Oryctolagus cuniculus: one gene and its partners. The protein of the gene in region 3 purifies or fractionates together with the protein of the main gene of each other region. This does not show direct contact. Links are inferred from orthologs where the notes say so. Each region holds a gene or a part of one and is shown on either strand. Other genes may lie near its edges.

Region 1 (5,838 bases), on a different chromosome or scaffold from region 3:
GTGTGACCTTGCCACTCCTTTCTCTGGCCTCCCTTTTGGCCTGGGTGGGCCCTGTGACGCATTTGACAACAAGAATATGATAGAAGTAATAGTGCTTTACTATTAGTTAAATTGGTTTAGTGCTTTAGTAGTCTGGCAACTTCTACCTGTTGCTTTTGGAACACCTGCTGTGGAGGAAACCAATTACCTGAAAAAAATCACGAATTCTGTCTTAAAACATACTTACTTTTGGTACGCTCCCAGGCTATGAGTTTATGTTTCACTAATTCTCTTAAAACTTTATTACAGCCACCATGTTTAAGGCTGGCTATAGAAGCAATCAAACTGCAGGGAACTATTTCATGGTTCTTCATGCCCATTTCAACCTGAAATGAAAGGAATCATTATATGATCATAACTACCATAAAGCCTTGTCTACCAAAATTCTGTAAGGGATACATTCTGAGACATGGGTTATTAGGCAAGTTTTGCACTTTCACAAACTAAGACACCTGCTATGTCACTAAGTGATACAATCTTGCGGAATCCCTGTTGCATATGCAGTCTGCCATTGACTAGAACATCTTCTGGGGAATCATAATTATGAAACAAAATTACCATCAGTTATAATTTGATATGTAATCACTAACAACATATCTCTACTGCACTTCAAGGGTACAGATTCTGAGTCCTTGGCATAGATAATGATACATGATGAAGCCTAAAATACCTGCTGACATCTAAACAGTTGTCTTGAAAAACTATAAATGTTTTAGTGATAATCAAAGGAAGGACTTCAAGGGCTTTAAGAAGTTTTGCGTTTTGATGTAGGAGGGCAAAAGGAGAGAGGAATTTAAGCTGGAAGTGAGGAGGAAGAGTACAATTTAAAATTATGTTTTTTGGTAGTTTGGGAAACAAGGAAGAGGGTAAAGTTGACTGATTTGGTTTGAGCACATAAAAGTCAATTGCAGATGTTTACAGGGAAATTGGGAACTTAGGAGTCAACTCATAATTGGGGAAACAGGGTCTATTTTTTGGCAGAGATGAAAGATGAGACTGTAAAGTGGATGCCATCACCAAGAAATAATGGAACAAAAGGAAAGGCTGGTGAAAGAATTTTGCAGGAAATTCACATCGAAAGGTAAGGCTGGGCCGGTGTTGTGGCACAACAGGTTAATCCTCTGCCTGTGGCAACAGCATCCCATATGGACACTGGTTCTAGTCCTGGCTGCTCCTCTTCCAACCCAGCTTTCTGCTATGGCCTGGGAAAGCAATAGAAGATGGCCCAAGTCCTTAGATCCCTGCATCTGTGAGGGAGATCCGGAAGCAGCTCCTGGCTCCTGGCTTCGGATCGGCGCAGCTCCGGCTATTGCGGCCAATTGGGGAGTGAACCAGCGGATGGCAGACCTTTCTTTGTCTCTCCCTCTTGCTGTCTGTAACTCAACCTCTCAAATAAATAAAAAAAATATTAAAAAAAAAGGTAGGGCCAACAAATCATATATAAAGAGACAAAGAAATTAAAGGGAAGAAGAGGGTAAGAAAAGGTGTTGGCAGTGGTGAAATTCAACTGAGACTGGGCTGTCATGTTTAATGGCTGGAGTATTCTTTGGTGGGCTCCAGAGAGAATTTTTTAATTTTTCAAATATGTATTTATTTATTTGAGGGGAAGAATTACAGAGAGAGAGAGAGAGAGAGAGAGGTCTTCCATCTGCTGGTTCACTCCCCAAATGGCTGCAACAGCTGGAGCTGGGCTGATCTGAAGCCAGGAGCTTCTTCTGGGTCTCCCATGTGGGTGTAGGGGGCCAAGCACTTGGGCCATCTTCCACCGCTTTCCCAGATGCATTAGCAGGGAGCTGGATGGGAAGTGGAGTGGCTGGGACTCATGAGGGATGACGGCACTGCAGGCGGAGGCTTAACCTTACTAGGTTAAGTGCTGGCCCCCTTAGAAAGAATTTGAATATTAAGAGTCCAAGTTTGGAAAGATAAATCTGTCATCATTTTGATGTCCCACCAAACTTCACACTTTAACTTAATTCATCTTGCACACTTGGACCCTGTCTCTCCAGGATCTAACACTATTCCTCGTGACTGTGAGAGGCAGTAAGGAATGGATCAATGTGCTGAGCAAGCAGAGAAGGGAGCTTTCAGAGGTGATCGTAGGTAATTACACAAAGACCAGTTGACCTGAAGGATGTATGAGAGAAAGAAGAGTGTCTTCGAATTTCATATAGATTTTTGTCTTTGATAGTTTAATCCTTGGGTATTGCTATTTAAGACTCATTTCCAAAATCCAACATAAAGCCTTAAAAATAGTACAAGAACCAGTGTGACTCATATGACATGCTTGAGTGCCATCACATAATGACACCATACAGAGTCTTCAGCATGGGGCTCACTCCTTATCAAACCATAATGGGTCCTAAAGAAAAGTACTGGCTTCGTTAACGTCACTGATCTCTGTGCCTTGACCAGAAACGTTCAGTGGCTCCCCGTCCCCTGCCACCTTTACCAAGCCTGAAAAGCTGTATGGTACACAATCTGGCAACGACTTTCCCAGGTATGTCTCCAATCTAAGCTCACTCCGCCCCAGTCACGCCGGTCTTTCCTTTCTTCAGGGATTTCCCACCCTAGGGTCTTGCTCTTGTCACTGCCCCCAACTTCTACAGCTGAGCAGGCTCCTTATTAACTTCTCATTCTTTTTTTTTTCACGTCGCAGGATATTAATTTACTGCCTACCAAGAGACAATAACTTAAACAAAAACAAAACAAGAAAGTCCTGTGGACCTTGGTCACAACCGTAAACAGACGAGACCCTCGCACGCGGGGAGTCTTCCCCGACTACACAATTCAACGACAGCACTCGCCGCACCCTCCGCCGGACGCCCAGAGCCTTGCATTCCCGCGTCCTCTCCCATCTTCCCGGCCCTTACTCCCTGATACCGTCCAGTTCGCTATGAAAAGCCCCGGCAAACGTGCTGAGAGAATCTGAGGTTAATACTGGGACCTGAGGATGCACTCAGAGGCACCGAGTGTCCTCGGGACGGGACTCAAACCCTTCCGGCTGCCGGAAGCCCGAGGCAGAGACCAGGCCACGGCGAGGCGAGCGTCTCTCCAGCTCGGGGAGAGACCAGAAGGGAAGGAAAATGACTAGGAGACGGGGCCTTGGCGCTCGCTGGGGGACGACAAATGCCACACATAAGCCCTGTAAAAATCCGACTCTCCAGGGCTCTTTTCCCGGTTCCCAGCGTCGGCGCGTCCGCAGGCGCGGGGCGCGCCGGCTCAGCTCTGTCCATCTGAAAACGCACCGTCGGGAAGGTCACAGGGGAAGCGTTTCTTACCGCTGTCAGGACCCTGAAGTCATCCCGGCTCATGTAGCGCAACTTGGCCACATTCACCTTGCCCATGGCGGCGGCTCCACAGCCAGCCCGGCGCGCAGCGCACGGCCTCCCGCGTGCGTGACGGCCGCGCGTCGCCTGCGCATGCGCCGGCGTGCGCTCCAGGTCCTTGTCGCGGAAAGAAGGCGCTCTGGTCCCCGGGGCGTGCTGGAGTGAGGCGTCGCCTGTGTGATGGAGCGCCGGGCGGGGAACAAGGGGGCGTTTTATTTGCCATCGATTTTGCGTGGAACTGAGTTGGTGGAGTGTAAATGCTCTCTACAATTCGGCGTTTTGTTTTTCACACCTGTCAGGACTGGCTGCCTTGAGGCTGTGTTTCGCCTCAGCGGAGTGGTGACTTTACGGCAGGAACTCATGTTATCCCGAGTCCCAACAAGAGAGCTGGACTGAACTGGAGGGAGACCAGAGACGACGACTGTAATTCCTAACTGCACCCCTTAGGGACACGAAATCGCGCGGCTCAGGAGAACGTTTTCGCGCTTGCTCGCTTACTACCTCAAGAATGCGCCTGCCGGGCGGGGGTTTAAGCCGAGAGTGTGGGCGCTGTGACGTCATTTTCCCGCGCGCATTTTGCCCGGAAGTGGGTGCTTGCTTGGTTGTGGGCGGAGCTGTACCAGTAGTACTTGGAGGCTCGAGGGCTTTACTCTGGCTCTGGGCCTTACAGAAATGGTGACTGGAGCAGGATTGAAAGCAGTTTTGCACCCAGGCAAATGGACGCGCACTCTACCCTTCCCTCCAACATCAGGACCAGCGTAACAACACGTGTGTGACGTGTGTCCTCGAAGGTCATGCACTGTTTTAAACTTGTGAACGATTAACACCTTGCTACACTCACCCCGTAATGGTGAATGCTACGTATTGTTACGGAGCATTCTGGTCCACCTCAGCCTTGACTTACTCCCAATCCCTGGTGTTTAACCGCTCTCTGGGCCCTAGGAATTCGGTGTTTACATGGCTCCATCTTTTTCTGGCTTCCACAGACTGATGTGCTGATTTCCCGCCCCTTCAAGTCCCGTCCTGCGTGCGCCGCTCCGTCCAGAGCTAGAGCTTATACAACAAACTTGTTGTCTGGAGGCAGGCAGCTGATTGTGATCGTCCCTTTCCACTGGGTACTCGGTGTTCTGAAATGTTGAAATGGAAAAGGAAGAACGGCCCTTTACCCCCACTATTTTCCAGTCTCTGGCTGCTGCTTACTTGAACGCAACAGTCCATGATTAACCATGATCAACTGGTGAACATCTCCATTTGTACGACTTTTTTCTTTCTGTACTTCACATAGAAATGCTAAGATTTAAAGGAACCAAATGACTAACTTCTAAAGCAACAATGGAGTGGTGAACACTATTTGGGTGTCAACTAATTCAGCACTTTAGCAGACATTGCCAAACTGTTATAGCACAATCCATACTTCACAGCACTGCTTCGGACAGCCACTACTAACTGACTAGATATGGCTAGAATTGCTGAATCAGAGTGTGCTGTAGGATCAATCACATTGAATGCAACCTCTTACTTTCAATATTAATTTTTTAAATGAAATCTTCATGATCAGACCATCAAAGAGTAAAGGTAAGTAATTAAAGTTCAGTTTGTTATTCTATTCTACTCTAGTATTCCATGCTTAAGTGATGACTTAAACAGAAAATGTGCAATAGTCTTCATCTACCATTTATCAAACGCATATGCCAGCCTTTTTGCTAGCTCCTCACTCAATCCTAAGCCTTAAATTTAATGGTGGATGGCAGTGAATTAAAAGATTAGAGTATATGTGACTTAGGTGCAAAGAGTTTATCATATCATTATTTACTGCTTCCAGATTCCAACTACAATCACTCACTCACTCTCTAGCATGTACGCACACCCCTGTCCCTTACACACTACAGAGATCTTGGCTGTCTACAGATTAAAGTTCAAACTCCTTAGGATGGCATCCATTCTCTAACAATCTGTATCATTACTTTCAAGTAGCTTTTTTTTCTTCATGCAACTCCCTTTATTACCTTCCTCACTATTTCCACCTGTAATGCTGCCCTCGCTCTTTTTTCTGGTCATGATATACATGAGTTCTACAATTTGTGGCAAAATTTAAACAAGGAGACTGAGTTAAAAGTTTAAGTTCAAAGGGAAGAAAAATTGTGTATTTATGATTAAGATACCATACTAGCTAAAACTCATGAAAGTTGTGAAATACTTTACCACACAAAGGCTGTGTGTGCTGTACTTTTGTGTGTTAGGGATATCAGTGGTGAGGAAACACACAGTATGAATTATGTAGATATGTGGAATTTGCAGAGTATTCCAGTGAGGGACTTATAATTCAGACTTGGAAGTTCTGGAGTGTAGTGGAATACACACCAAGAATTATCGTATAACTGTTGAAAAACAGCTCCTGGCACACTAGATTCCTTGGGAAATGGGTTGCCTAACATTGATCTGTCAGGTGATAGTGTGCTCACAATTGTGCTGC
Region 2 (5,589 bases), on a different chromosome or scaffold from region 3:
CCCGCAAGAAGCTCCTGGATCCTGGCTTTAGCCATTTGGGGAGTGAATCAGCAGATGGGAAATCTCTCTCTCTAACTCTGCCTTTCAAATAATTTTTTTTTTTTTGACAGGCAGAGTGGACAGTGAGAGAGAGAGACAGAGAGAAAGGTCTTCCTTTGCCGTTGGTTCACCCTCCAATGGCCACTGTGGCCGGCGCTGCGCTGATCCGAAGGCAGGAGCCAGGTGCTTTTCCTGGTCTCCCATGGGGTGCAGGGCCCAAGCACCTGGGCCATCCTCCACTGCACTCCCGGGCCACAGCAGAGAGCTGGCCTGGAAGAGGGGCAACCGGGACAGAATCCGGCGCCCCGACCGGGACTAGAACCCGGCGTGCCGGCGCCACAAGGCGGAGGATTAGCCTAGTGAGCCGCGGCGCTGGCCTCAAATAAATATTTTTTAAAAACTGGAGCTGCCATGAAAAACCTAGAAATTTAAAACTTTGAGTCCCTCTGCGTCCAGCGTCTGCATCTCACAATGATGATCGCCTTTCCTTTTCTGTTTAATGAGAGAGAGAGAGAGAGAGAGAGAGAGAGAGAGAGTCCATCCACTGAAGATCACTCCCTCAGTGGCTGCAACAGCCAGGGCTGGGCCAGTCTGATGCCAGAAACCAGGAGCTCTGTGCAGGTGTCCCACGTGGGTGCCGGGGCCCAGGCACTCGGGCCGTCCACTGCTGCTTTCTGGACCGGAAGTGGTGTAGCGGGGACTCTAACTGGCGCCCATCTGGGATGCCAGCACCGCAGGAGGCGGCTGAACCCTGACCCCACTGAGCTCGCATGCAAGTCACCCGCCCCCCCTGGGCCAGTGTTTCTGTGGGCCAACTACTGGAGGTGCCGGCTGGAGGCCACCGGGGCCAGTCCCAGCAGTCAGGCAGGAGCAGCCGCCTGGAGTGGCCTCGCTGCTGCAGGGGGCTCCGGGGAACCTGACGTCCAGTCTGGCCTCAGGTCACTCAAGTGGGCAGAGGGGCGGAGTCGGAGCACAAGGGGCAGAAAGGCGGGAGCAGGGCGCTCCTGGGGCTGGGGGATGCCTCACACGGGGGCCGCAGCCGGTGCTGGGGCAGCTGGGCAGCACCGCTCCCGCCGGGGTCCCTCCTGGGCGCCACAGGCACCAGCTCTGGTCCCGGTGACACCCCCTTGTCCTGAGCCGTTCCGAGAATGAGCAGCAGGCCGAGGGGTTGCCCCAAGCCCTGCAGCTCCTCGAGGCGCTGGCAGGAACTGCAGGGAGTGGGCGCCAGGCTCCTCCTGCCCCCCTCCCCCGCCTTCCCGCAGAAGAGCTAGGAGCACATTGTGTCCACGAGGTGCAAAATCCACCTCTGACCCGTGAGCCCGAGAACCTGGTTCCAGGCCTGACTGGTGCCCGGGGCCCCAAAACCTGACCTCCAGACGTTGGGGGTCAGGAGGCTGGATGGAGCAGAGTGTGGCTGGGGATGCGTGCCCTGGTGCTCGCCTTCAGCAGGCTGGGGAGCACGCGGAAGCCCCAGAAGATCGCCCTTCTTGGGCCCCCCCCCCCGGGGTGTCTGGAGGGGACCAACCCCGTCGGGATGCCTGGAAGAGCCCCCCACCGTCTCTGCGGGCAGAGCTCAGGCACAGGGATCCAGAGCTGCCTTCGGCCTTAACTTTGGAGTCCGTGACCTCCTTCGCAAGGACGCCCAGACCCCACGAAGCTGGGACCCAACGCTGACTCCGGCCAGCGCCCAGCCTCACCCCGCGTCCTTCCTGCGGGGGCCCGCACGCCGTTTCCGCGCTCGCAGCCTACAGGGCTCCCTCCGGATCGGGGCGGGGGCGGGGGCGGGGGGAGGTGTCAGCTCCAGCCCCGGGAGCCCCCGACCCCCGTCTCCTTCCTGCACACGACCCGCTCGGGTCCTTTCCTAGGTCGGTCGCGAGGCATCTGCGGGGCAGGGGACGCCGGCACGTGGTGCCCGCTGGCGACAAGACGACGGGTGGCCTTGGGTGGCGGGGACCGAGGGGCGAGGGGCCGGGGTCCGGCGTTGCGGGCGCGGGGCGGGCAGTGCGCAGGAGCTCGCTCGCCCCGCCCCAGCGGCGAGGCCCCGCCCACCGAGCGGCGAGGCCCCGCCCCGCCGGGTTGCTAGGGGAAGTGACGTCACAGCACGATGGCGGCGGTTCCTTTAGGCAGCTGAAGGGGGATTTAGGCCCGGAAGATCCGAGTCCATCCGCGGCGGGGAGAGGGCGAGCTGGGCCGGCACGGGCCGGAGCAGGGGCGGCGGCGCTCGAACTGTCCCATCCGCCCCGTATTGAGGCGCTGGGAGCGGTGGAGCGGCCGGAAAGCTATGGTGAAAGCGGGGCCGTGAGGGGGGCGGAGCCGGAGCCGGACCCGCAGTAGCGGCAGCAGCGGCGCCGCCTCCGGAGCTCAGACCCAGGAAGCGGCCGGGAGGGCAGGGGCGAGCGGGCCGCCGCCATGGAGCTGAGAGTCGGGAACAGGTACCGGCTGGGCCGGAAGATCGGCAGCGGCTCCTTCGGAGACATCTATCTCGGTGAGGCCCCGCGAGCCGCCGCCGCCCCTCCCCCCGGCCGCCCCTTCCCGCGGGGGACCCGCACCCCGCAGCTGTCCGAGGCCGGGCGGCCGCGGAAGGCGGGGGCGAGGGCTCAGGAGCCGCCGGATCGTGGCCAGAAACCATCGGCCGCTCGGCGGACAGCGGGGTCTGGGGGTGGGCAGGACGTGGGGGGGGTCAGCGAGGCCTAGGGGGAGGGGACAGCGGCGCCTGGGGATGGGCCGGGCCGGGGGCGCAGTGGCACCGAGCAGTGGGACGAGGTCCGGTGAGGAGGGGGCTGGACAGCAGGATCGGGGGCGCGGGGCCTCCGGGAGGGGGTGCCGCCGGGTCTAGGGGTCTCCGGGCCTGGGGGCGGGCAGGGCCTGGAGCAGGCAGGGGGCAGGGCCGGGCGGCAGCGTCCTCCGCTGGCCTGAGGTCGCCGCCGTCAACAAAGGCCACTGTCCCCCGTCTGCGGTGGGTCTGGCGCCTGCTGGGGCACCCGCATCCCCGCACTGCACACGTGTGGGCGAAATGTCAGCATGACCTGCGTGCTGGGGGCGGTGGGGGGGTCCCTGTCAGAAACGGCTCCTGGTGGCTTCCGCTGGCCCCCTTGCAGGTAACTGACCGGCCGCGGGCCCTGTGGGCCGCCCCTCCCCCCCGCGCACGCACACACACGCGCGCACACGACACCTTAGTCCCCAGTAGGAGGGCGGAAAGTGTTGTCTGGGCCGGGACGCGCCCCGCAGCCATTTCCGGGACCTGTGGGCCCTCGTCCGTGCCCAGGTGTGGGCCCCGGCAGAGGCCAGTGACGGGTCGGGAGGCGCACGGTGCGGGATTTCCCGGGAGCTTGGTTCCGCGGTGGAATCCCGTTCCTGAGTGACTCCGAAGCCCGGGCCGGCAGGTGCACTTGCTGTGAAGGGCGGGTGAACAGGCCCTGCCTCTGTCCTGCGCTCCGGCCGTCGAGGGCGGAGGTGGTCGTGAGGACCTCTGGGGCCTGGGTGCTTCCAGGCCGCGTGGATGTCTGAACCTGAGTTTCTCCCTTAATAGCCTGCTGAGTAAAACATGCTTCAGAGGCATTTTAAATATTTATTCTAAGTAGTCTGCCAGCTGCGCGCTCAGCAGTGCCGGGAGCCGGAGTGCCGGGTAAATGGAAGTAGTTGGCTTATTTATAGAACAATGGATTTTTGGCAAAAGTTTTAACCTCAGGATTTGGGATCTACACCGAAAAGCCAGCCCATCAAGCACCCTTCCGTGGGCATCAAAAGGGGAGGCTTTGACACTTTGTTCTGCGGCCTGAGACGGCTTTGTGCTGTCAGAGGTGGGTTCAGCCAGTCCAGTCGTGGCACGGTGGTCACCAGGCGACTCACGGACACGGGAGCTTCCTGTGGAGTGGAAGCCCAGTGAGGCGCCGTCCTCGGCTACCCCGCTGTGCTGGCTGGGCACGCCGTGGCACTGCGTACAGTCCGGCTCCAGAGGCCGCTGCCTCTCACATGGGCTGTGGCCCGCATCCCTCAGGGCACGACCCGTCTTCCTCCAGCAGCGTTGGCGCTGGGCCCACGGCTGACCCTCTGAGGACAGGCTGTGCAGGCTGGTCGTGCCTGTGTCGGACTTGAGGTGTCGCGACCCCTTCTCGTGTGGCGTGAGTGCCCTTGACCCTGCCCTCCTGCTTTGAGCTCCTACCTGGCATTTCGTGTGCTTCCAGGTGTTTGGAGCTGGAAGGAGGGAAGGCAGGGGCGGGGTGGGGCCAGCACCCTAGGGCTATTTGCCAAATGCCTGGGCTCCGGAAAGTGTATGTGCTGGGTTTGGGCCGCTAAGAAATTCAATGTCAGTTGTCAGTCTCAGCCTGCCGCATCCAGAAGTCTCTTCAGAAGGGCAAGCTGGCAAGGTGTGGCAGCCCGCACACCTGTGGAGTGGCGCTGGTGTGGGCCGTGGCTGTGTGCCCCCTGCGCTGGCACTGTGGTGGCCGTGTATGTCACCATGTGCTGGAGGTGGGGGGTGTCCAAGGCAGTGGAAACCCCTTTCACTCCTACACACTTGCTAGCCTCTGAAAACAGAGGACGTGTTCCTAGTGTGGACCGTGTGTTCCCAGCCTGGCATCCCAGGGAAGAGGCCGCGCAGGCTGGCGGGGCCCGGCACGGCTGAGCCTCTGTCCTCCGTCGCGTTGGTCTCCAGAGGCAGGCGGTGGGAGCTGAGTGCCGGGAGGGGGGCCCTCGCCGGCGGCTGGCGTTGGTCTCCATCCTGGGGAGGGGCCCTGAGCAGCCTCTTTTGGTTTTCACATTTCCCCCGGCTCAGCTGTCTCTGGAGCGGCACCGCGCGGGGTGTGTAGCACGCAGAACCCCACAGTGCTGGCGGCCTGGAGAGGAGAGGAGTTCCCGATTCTTCTTCCGGCATCGCCCCTGTGCCGTGTGGAGGGCCGGGGCGTCTGTGTCCCTCGGAAGTGGGCTTCCCTGAGTGCTGGTAGGAGAAGCCACAGTTCTGCCTGGGCCACCTGGCTGACAGGTGCCCTGTGAGATGACCGTTGCCCAGCTGCTCCGAGGCGGGTCCCTGTTGCCTTGTTGTTGGGACAGCGACATCCTGGCTGGCAGTGCAGAGTCCTTCCCCGCCCAGGGACGGGCTCCTGCTTCTGGGCTAGGCTCACTGGGTTCTCCCTCTGCTGTCTGCGCGCCCTGAGGGGTGCGCTTTTCTCTTCTAGGACCCACAGCAGCCTGTGTCCACATAGTGACTGACCCTCTTAGAGCAGGATTGCGGAGCTGCCGCTGCCCGCCCCGCTTTGGGCTTGGTCTGAATCTGGAACCGAGCTCAGCGACACCTGTCACACACTGGTCCTTCCGGGGCACTTCTCAGACCTCACCTGTGGTGGAGGGCACCTGTCTTATTTCCAGGCCTTTTGTAGAGTAAGACCGCGTGGCCGTGGCGCCATGGCTGCTTGTGCTCGCCCCTCTCGTGGACCGGTGTGCGGAGGGGTGTGCACGCCAGCGGGTCTGACGTTTGCCCGGCCAGGTGGGGGTGTTGCCCACCGGACACAGGGCCTGAAGCTGTGTGCTGGCACTCCTCCCTGACAGGTGCGG
Region 3 (5,623 bases):
TGCATTCTTCACTCTGCAGGGAGAGTAATCTGCCAGCAACGCACATTTGATTTGGTCAGTTCTGCACTCAAACCCCTCCCACAGCTTCCCATCATTGTTAGAAAGGCTTTCAATTCTGGGCATGCTCTCCAAGAGCTCTGCAGGTTTGGCACCTACCTACCTACCTCACCATCATTCATTAGTCCATTTACTCAGCGAACATCGAGTGTCTGCTACATGTGAGGCACTGGTAAGAGTGCTGGAAGGTTAGCAGTGAACAAGAGAAACAGAAATTGTTGACCTCACAGAGCTTACATTCTAACTGGAGGAGAAAAACATAAAAAATAGACGTAATATATAAATATATTGGATTAAAAGAAGAGAAGTACTAAGACAAAACACAGAGTAGAGAAGTCAGAAGTACAGAGGGGTCCAGCACTGTGGTGGGTGAGGCCACTGCCTGCAGTGCCGGCATCCATATGGGTGCCGGTTCGAGTCCCAGCTGCTCCACTTCTGATCCAGCTCTCTGCTGTGGCCTGGGAAAGCAATACAAGATTAGAAGATGGCCCAGGCCCTTGGGCCCCTGTACCAGTGTGGGAGACCAGGAGGAAGCTGCCGGCTCCTGGCTTTGGATCTGCTAAGTTCTGGCTGTTGTGACCACCCAGGGAGTGAACCAGCAAATGGGACCTCTCTCTGCCTCTCTGTGACTCTGCCTTTCAAATAGATAAACTGCAAGCCTGCAGGCAATGGAGTAGACTAATCCAGGAGAAGGAACAGCCAGGCACAGGCTCCAACTGCCCATGTTTAGAAGGAACAATGAGATTTGTATGGTGGAGTAGAGGACAAAGGGAAAGAAGCCGGCGGTCAGACGGTAATAGAGGTAGATCACACAGGGCACTGTGCACTATTAGAACCCTGTAGCTGTAGGGGCAACAGGATCGTGGTTAGGAGGGTACCACAATAACCCGAGCGCAGAACATGGCGGCTTGGACATGATGGCGTTTCTAAGGTGGCGGAGGTGGTCATCAGAACTTCCTAATGAATAAGACATGGAGACAGGAGGGGGAAAAGAAAGGGAGGGGGAGGGAGACCAAGGACAGGGGAGGACCAGGTGTGGGAGTCAGAGTTTGTTTTGGACATGGTAAGTTTGAGATGTCTTTTACATGTCAAATGAGAGATGCCCAATAGCAGCTGAATATAAGAATTTGGGCTTCAGGGGCTGGTGTTGTGGTGTAGCAGGTGAAGGAAGCTGCTGCCTATGACACCAGCATCCCATATGAAGCCAGTTCAAGTCCCAGCTGCTCTACTTCTGACCCAGTTCCCTGCTAATTGCCTGGGGAAAGCAGCAGAAGATGGCCCAAGTGCTTGGGCCCCGGCACCCACAGGGGAGACCGGGATGAAGCCTTGCTGGTTGCCGCCATCTGGGGAATGAACCAGTGGATACAAGATTTCAAATAAATAGATAAAAAAATTTTGAGTTTCTTGGAAGAGATCAGGGCTGGAATAAAAAGTAGGTAACACTCACTAAATAGATGGTAGTTAAATCATGAAACTTGAACAGGAAGTTTCAAATGCCTGCAAAAGCCAAGGAGACCCAGATGGAGCTCCGGATTTGGCCCGGCCCAGCTCAGTCATTGTGACCATTTGGGGAGTGAACTAGTGGATAAAAGATCTCTGTGTCTCTTCCTTTCAAGTAAATAAATAAATCTTAAAAAAAGAAAAAAAAGAAAGAAACAGCTTAGGAAACCCACATCCCATAACTGAATGCCAGGGTTCGAGTCCTGGTTCCACTGCAGATTCAGGCTTCCCACTAATATAGACCCTGAGAGACAACAGGAGGGAGCTCAAGTCATTGTGTCCCTGCAACCCACCCGGAAGAACTACACTGAGTTCCAGGTTTGGTCTGGCCCAGCCCTGGCCGTAGCAGGCAGCAGGCGTTTGGGAAGTAGATTAGGGGAAGCAAGTTTTCTCTCTCTGCCTTTCAGATAAAGATACTGTAGCCAGAAGAGCAGGGTTCAATTGCGTCAAATACTGCTTTTCTACAAATAAGATAAGCTCTGAGAAGTCGGTTAAACAACTCAGAGGTCAAGGCTTCTCCCCTATGAGAAAACAGTCAACATTTTTCAATCATCTCTCCCTCCACTTGGCCCCTAAACAATACTGCTTTTTCTGTTATGAACATTCGGTTTCAGGTCTCAGCTTCCAGGCTGGGCAACTCTGACCCCTACACGAATGCTATCGTTTCCAGAGAAACGAGACTTTCTTTCCCATGGAATTTACTGTTCTAATTGTCTCTCTCTTGGTTTAGACTGTAAGGTCCCGAGCTATATCTTGTTTATTTCTGCACGCAATCCATCAAAACTCCCAGCATCGTGCAAAGCCGGTAGCGAGCATCCCATATTTACAAAACCGTTGGACAAATGCTAGGAGAACTTGGTGGCCTGAGCCATCACTTCCTATTGGCCTAACTTGCGGGACGCGGCGAAAGGAGCACTAAAAACAGGGAGCGGGCCTGCAGGGTTCGGTCTTCCACCTGCCCTGCTCTCGGTAGAGAGCAACGTGCAACCCGGTTTTGAATCCAAGGTACTCCCCTGCCGGACACCTGTGGGCCGTCCACCCCCCAACCCAACTACTGCCTTCCCCGCGGACGCTCACCCAGCCGCGTGGCGCGCTCCCGAGGCTTGGCGGGCCCGTCCCCAGAGCCGTGCTCGGTTTCCAGCTCCTCCTGTTGCTGCCGTGCTTGCTGCAAAATCCGCCGGCTCAGCCGGGGCCCCACATACTCTTCCTCCTCTTCCCCGGTTCCGCGGCCCCGCCGCTTTTCCCGGGCACTTGACCGCACCGCGTTCCCAGCCAGGATCTGCTCGGCCAGGGGCGCGTGTTTTTCCTGAGCCCCAGCCCCACGGGCCGCTTTGAATTTCGGCATTTTTCTCGATAATGCGGCCCGGCAAACTCACACGTGGGTACGGCGACAGCCCAGGATGTGCGCTCGGCAATGAACGCCCAGGTCTGTGCCGAGAGGCCACGCGCTCACAGCGCCCCTACGCGTTCGGAGGCCAGAAAAGCAGCCAGCACCACTGCACTCCCGCAGGGAACTCCCGAGTCCTGGAGCCGGAGCCCGGAACAAATGCATTGCCTTTGACGTTGACGTCTCTAAATGGTGGCAGCCCGGGCCACGCTTTCCTAGCTTTCTGGATCTAGGACCAGGGTGGCCAACCAAACGGAAACTTCCGGAACTGCAAGCCAGGGGAGGGGCTGGGAATCGGGCCGATGACCTCACTGGAGGCGTCACCCAGAGTCGCTGCTGGTGCGTCTAACCGGCGCTCTGTTTTTACGTACTTCCGGAGCCCCTCCCGCGACCCGAGCCTGCGGTAGTTTTTAGTTCTTGTGGGCTTCGGGAGAGCGCTGTTTCGGCTGTGTGGTCGTGCCGCTTTCCAGGCCTGACGCTATGGGAGTGACCTGGTAGGATCACAAAGGGTTTTATGGGGCGGGACTTGGGTCGTGAAGGTCCCTTGAAACCTGGAGGGTCGGGGACTGAAGTCCGCCGTTCTCCGGGAGCTGAGCAAAATGCCCTCGGGCTGCGTGGATGTGGGCACTCTAAGGGCCGTGAGTCTCGGGCCCTAATGGGCCCCATTGCTCCTGGAAGGAAGCAAGGAAAAGGTTTTATCTCAGGAACCTTATGCATGGGTTGTGTACCCTCTTCTCTTTTTCTTGGTACGTCTTGCTACCCTTGAAATCCTAGTAGTGCAGAAAGTGGGACTTCGAGGTCGGAAACAGGGCTTTTCAGACTAGAACCCACCCGCAGGTAGGGTTAAAGCTGATAGGAGATAGGCAACGAGGCGGTGTTTGTGTGTTCGCCTCCCCCTACCTGTAGCCACCCAATAATCAGCCTGTATCTGGTTCTCATTCGGGTCTACAGGATCAAAATGGAAACTACTGGGAATTAGAAGATCAGGTTTCCAGACACTTTACTTCCTCATGACCTGCCTCCTACTACGTTTATACGGTTGATTCAGTTTCAGTGCACTTAAAAAAAAAAAAGATTTATTTATTTGAAAGGCAGAGTTAAAGAAAGGCAGGGGCAGAGAGAGAGCTTCCATCTGCTGGTTCTCTCCCCAAATGGCTGCAATAGCCGGAGCTGGGCCGATCAGGAGCCTGTAGCTTCTTCCAGGTCTCCCATGGGGGTGCAGGGGCCCAAGCACCTGGGCCATCTTCTACTGCTTTCCCAGGCCATGACAGAGAGCTGGATCGGAAGTGGAGCAGCCGGCTCTCAAATCGGCACCCACATGGGATGCCAGCTCTACAAGCAGCTGCTTTACCCTCCACGCCACAGCACTGGCCCCCAATGGACTTTTAAATCTCTGAACATGTTCTCAAACCCAGATGGAAGAGGATGGGGTGGAGGGGAAGGGTATGAACCCAGGGATCTTGGAGACCTTAGTTCCAAGGTGCTGGGTCTCTGCACCTTTTTTCTTCTTCTTCTTTTTTTTTTTTTTTTTAAGTCTTGGTTGTGAGCATCTCATCAGAGAGGCCTGGAGGCCAGGATATCTGAAGCCAGGAGTTATAGGCTTCTCTTTTTTTTCTCTTTTTTGAAAGATTTGAGAGGTAGAGTTACAGACAGTGAGAGGGAGAGACAGAAAGGTCTTCCATCTGCTCGTTCACTCCCCAGATGGCCCCAATGGCTGGAGCTGCGCCAATCCGAAGCGCTTGGGCCATCTTCTGTTGCTTTCCCAGGCCATAGCAGAGAGCTGGATTGGAAGAGGAGGAGCCAAGACTCGAACCGGCACCCATATGGGATACCGGCACCACAAATGGAGGATTAACCTACTGCACCACAGCACTGGCCCCCTAGGCTTCTCTTTTAAAAATAGTTGGGGGTAGAGGGAACACAATTTCTCCCAGTAGCCAGGGGTTTCTGGGGCTTGCACTCTTGTTTCCCCTACCACAACCCTCCCAAGCCCTGCAGAGTGAGGGTGCTGGTGCGGGATGGAGGTGGAAAAGTTGCAGCACAGGGGTTGGGACTGTGTGTAGCAGATTAAGTTACTGCCTGCAGTGCCGGCATCCCTTATGGGCACTGGTTCAAGTCCTGGCTGCTCCACTTCCAATCCAGCTCTCTGTAATGGCCTGGGAAAGCAGTAGAAGATGGCCCAAGACCTTGGGCCCCTGCACCCACGTGGGAGACCTGATGAAGTTCCTGGCTTTGTTGCCGGCCATTCCTGGGGGCGCCCTTATCAACTTTTCCAAAATCCTAGGACCTCTGTCCCTTGTAGCTTCAGGGATTCTCTGAAAGTACTTCAGAAAGTTCACAGAAAGTATGTATTATGAAAAACTATGCAATGTTTTGGCACCAAAATCTTTCTTTTTCTTTTTTGACAGCCAGAGTGGACAGTGAGAGAGAGAGACAGAGAGAGGGAAAGGTCTTCCTTTGCTGTTGGTTCACCCTCCAATGGCCGCCGCAGCCGGCAGCCGGCGCACCGCGCTGATCCGATGGCAGGAGCCAGGTGCTTCTCCTGGTCTCCCATGCGGGTGCAGGGCCCAAGCACTTGGGCCATCCTCCACTGCACTCCCTGGCCACAGCAGAGAGCTGGCCTGGAAGAGGGGCAACCGGGACAGAATCCAGCTCCCCGACTGGGACTAGAACCCAGTG

What was found. Proteins that work in one complex are often made in the same cells at the same time.
Region 1: the proteins of BYSL (region 3) and RIOK2 purify together in Homo sapiens (affinity purification with mass spectrometry; 3 studies listed by BioGRID and IntAct, with this or other methods). This does not show direct contact. The link is inferred for Oryctolagus cuniculus from reciprocal best matches to the Homo sapiens genes BYSL and RIOK2.
Region 2: the proteins of BYSL (region 3) and CSNK1D purify together in Homo sapiens (affinity purification with mass spectrometry; 3 studies listed by BioGRID and IntAct, with this or other methods). This does not show direct contact. The link is inferred for Oryctolagus cuniculus from reciprocal best matches to the Homo sapiens genes BYSL and CSNK1D.

Annotation. Positions count from the first base shown.
Region 1 is NC_091445.1:19,844,358-19,850,195, forward strand, and holds the start of RIOK2 (serine/threonine-protein kinase RIO2), read right to left. Parts: upstream 3,473-5,838; 5' UTR 3,384-3,472; coding exon 3,318-3,383; intron 366-3,317; coding exon 227-365; intron 1-226. UniProt on the Homo sapiens protein: Serine/threonine-protein kinase involved in the final steps of cytoplasmic maturation of the 40S ribosomal subunit. Involved in export of the 40S pre-ribosome particles (pre-40S) from the nucleus to the cytoplasm.
Region 2 is NC_091448.1:745,218-750,806, forward strand, and holds the start of CSNK1D (casein kinase I), read left to right. Parts: upstream 1-2,117; 5' UTR 2,118-2,448; coding exon 2,449-2,524; intron 2,525-2,999; exon of another isoform or gene 3,000-3,137; intron 3,138-4,958; exon of another isoform or gene 4,959-4,978; intron 4,979-5,589. UniProt on the Homo sapiens protein: Essential serine/threonine-protein kinase that regulates diverse cellular growth and survival processes including Wnt signaling, DNA repair and circadian rhythms. It can phosphorylate a large number of proteins.
Region 3 is NC_091436.1:127,986,574-127,992,196, forward strand, and holds the start of BYSL (bystin), read right to left. Parts: upstream 3,241-5,623; 5' UTR 2,903-3,240; coding exon 2,635-2,902; intron 1-2,634. Other genes in the region: MED20 (mediator of RNA polymerase II transcription subunit 20), read left to right, coding at 3,425-3,438. UniProt on the Homo sapiens protein: Required for processing of 20S pre-rRNA precursor and biogenesis of 40S ribosomal subunits. May be required for trophinin-dependent regulation of cell adhesion during implantation of human embryos.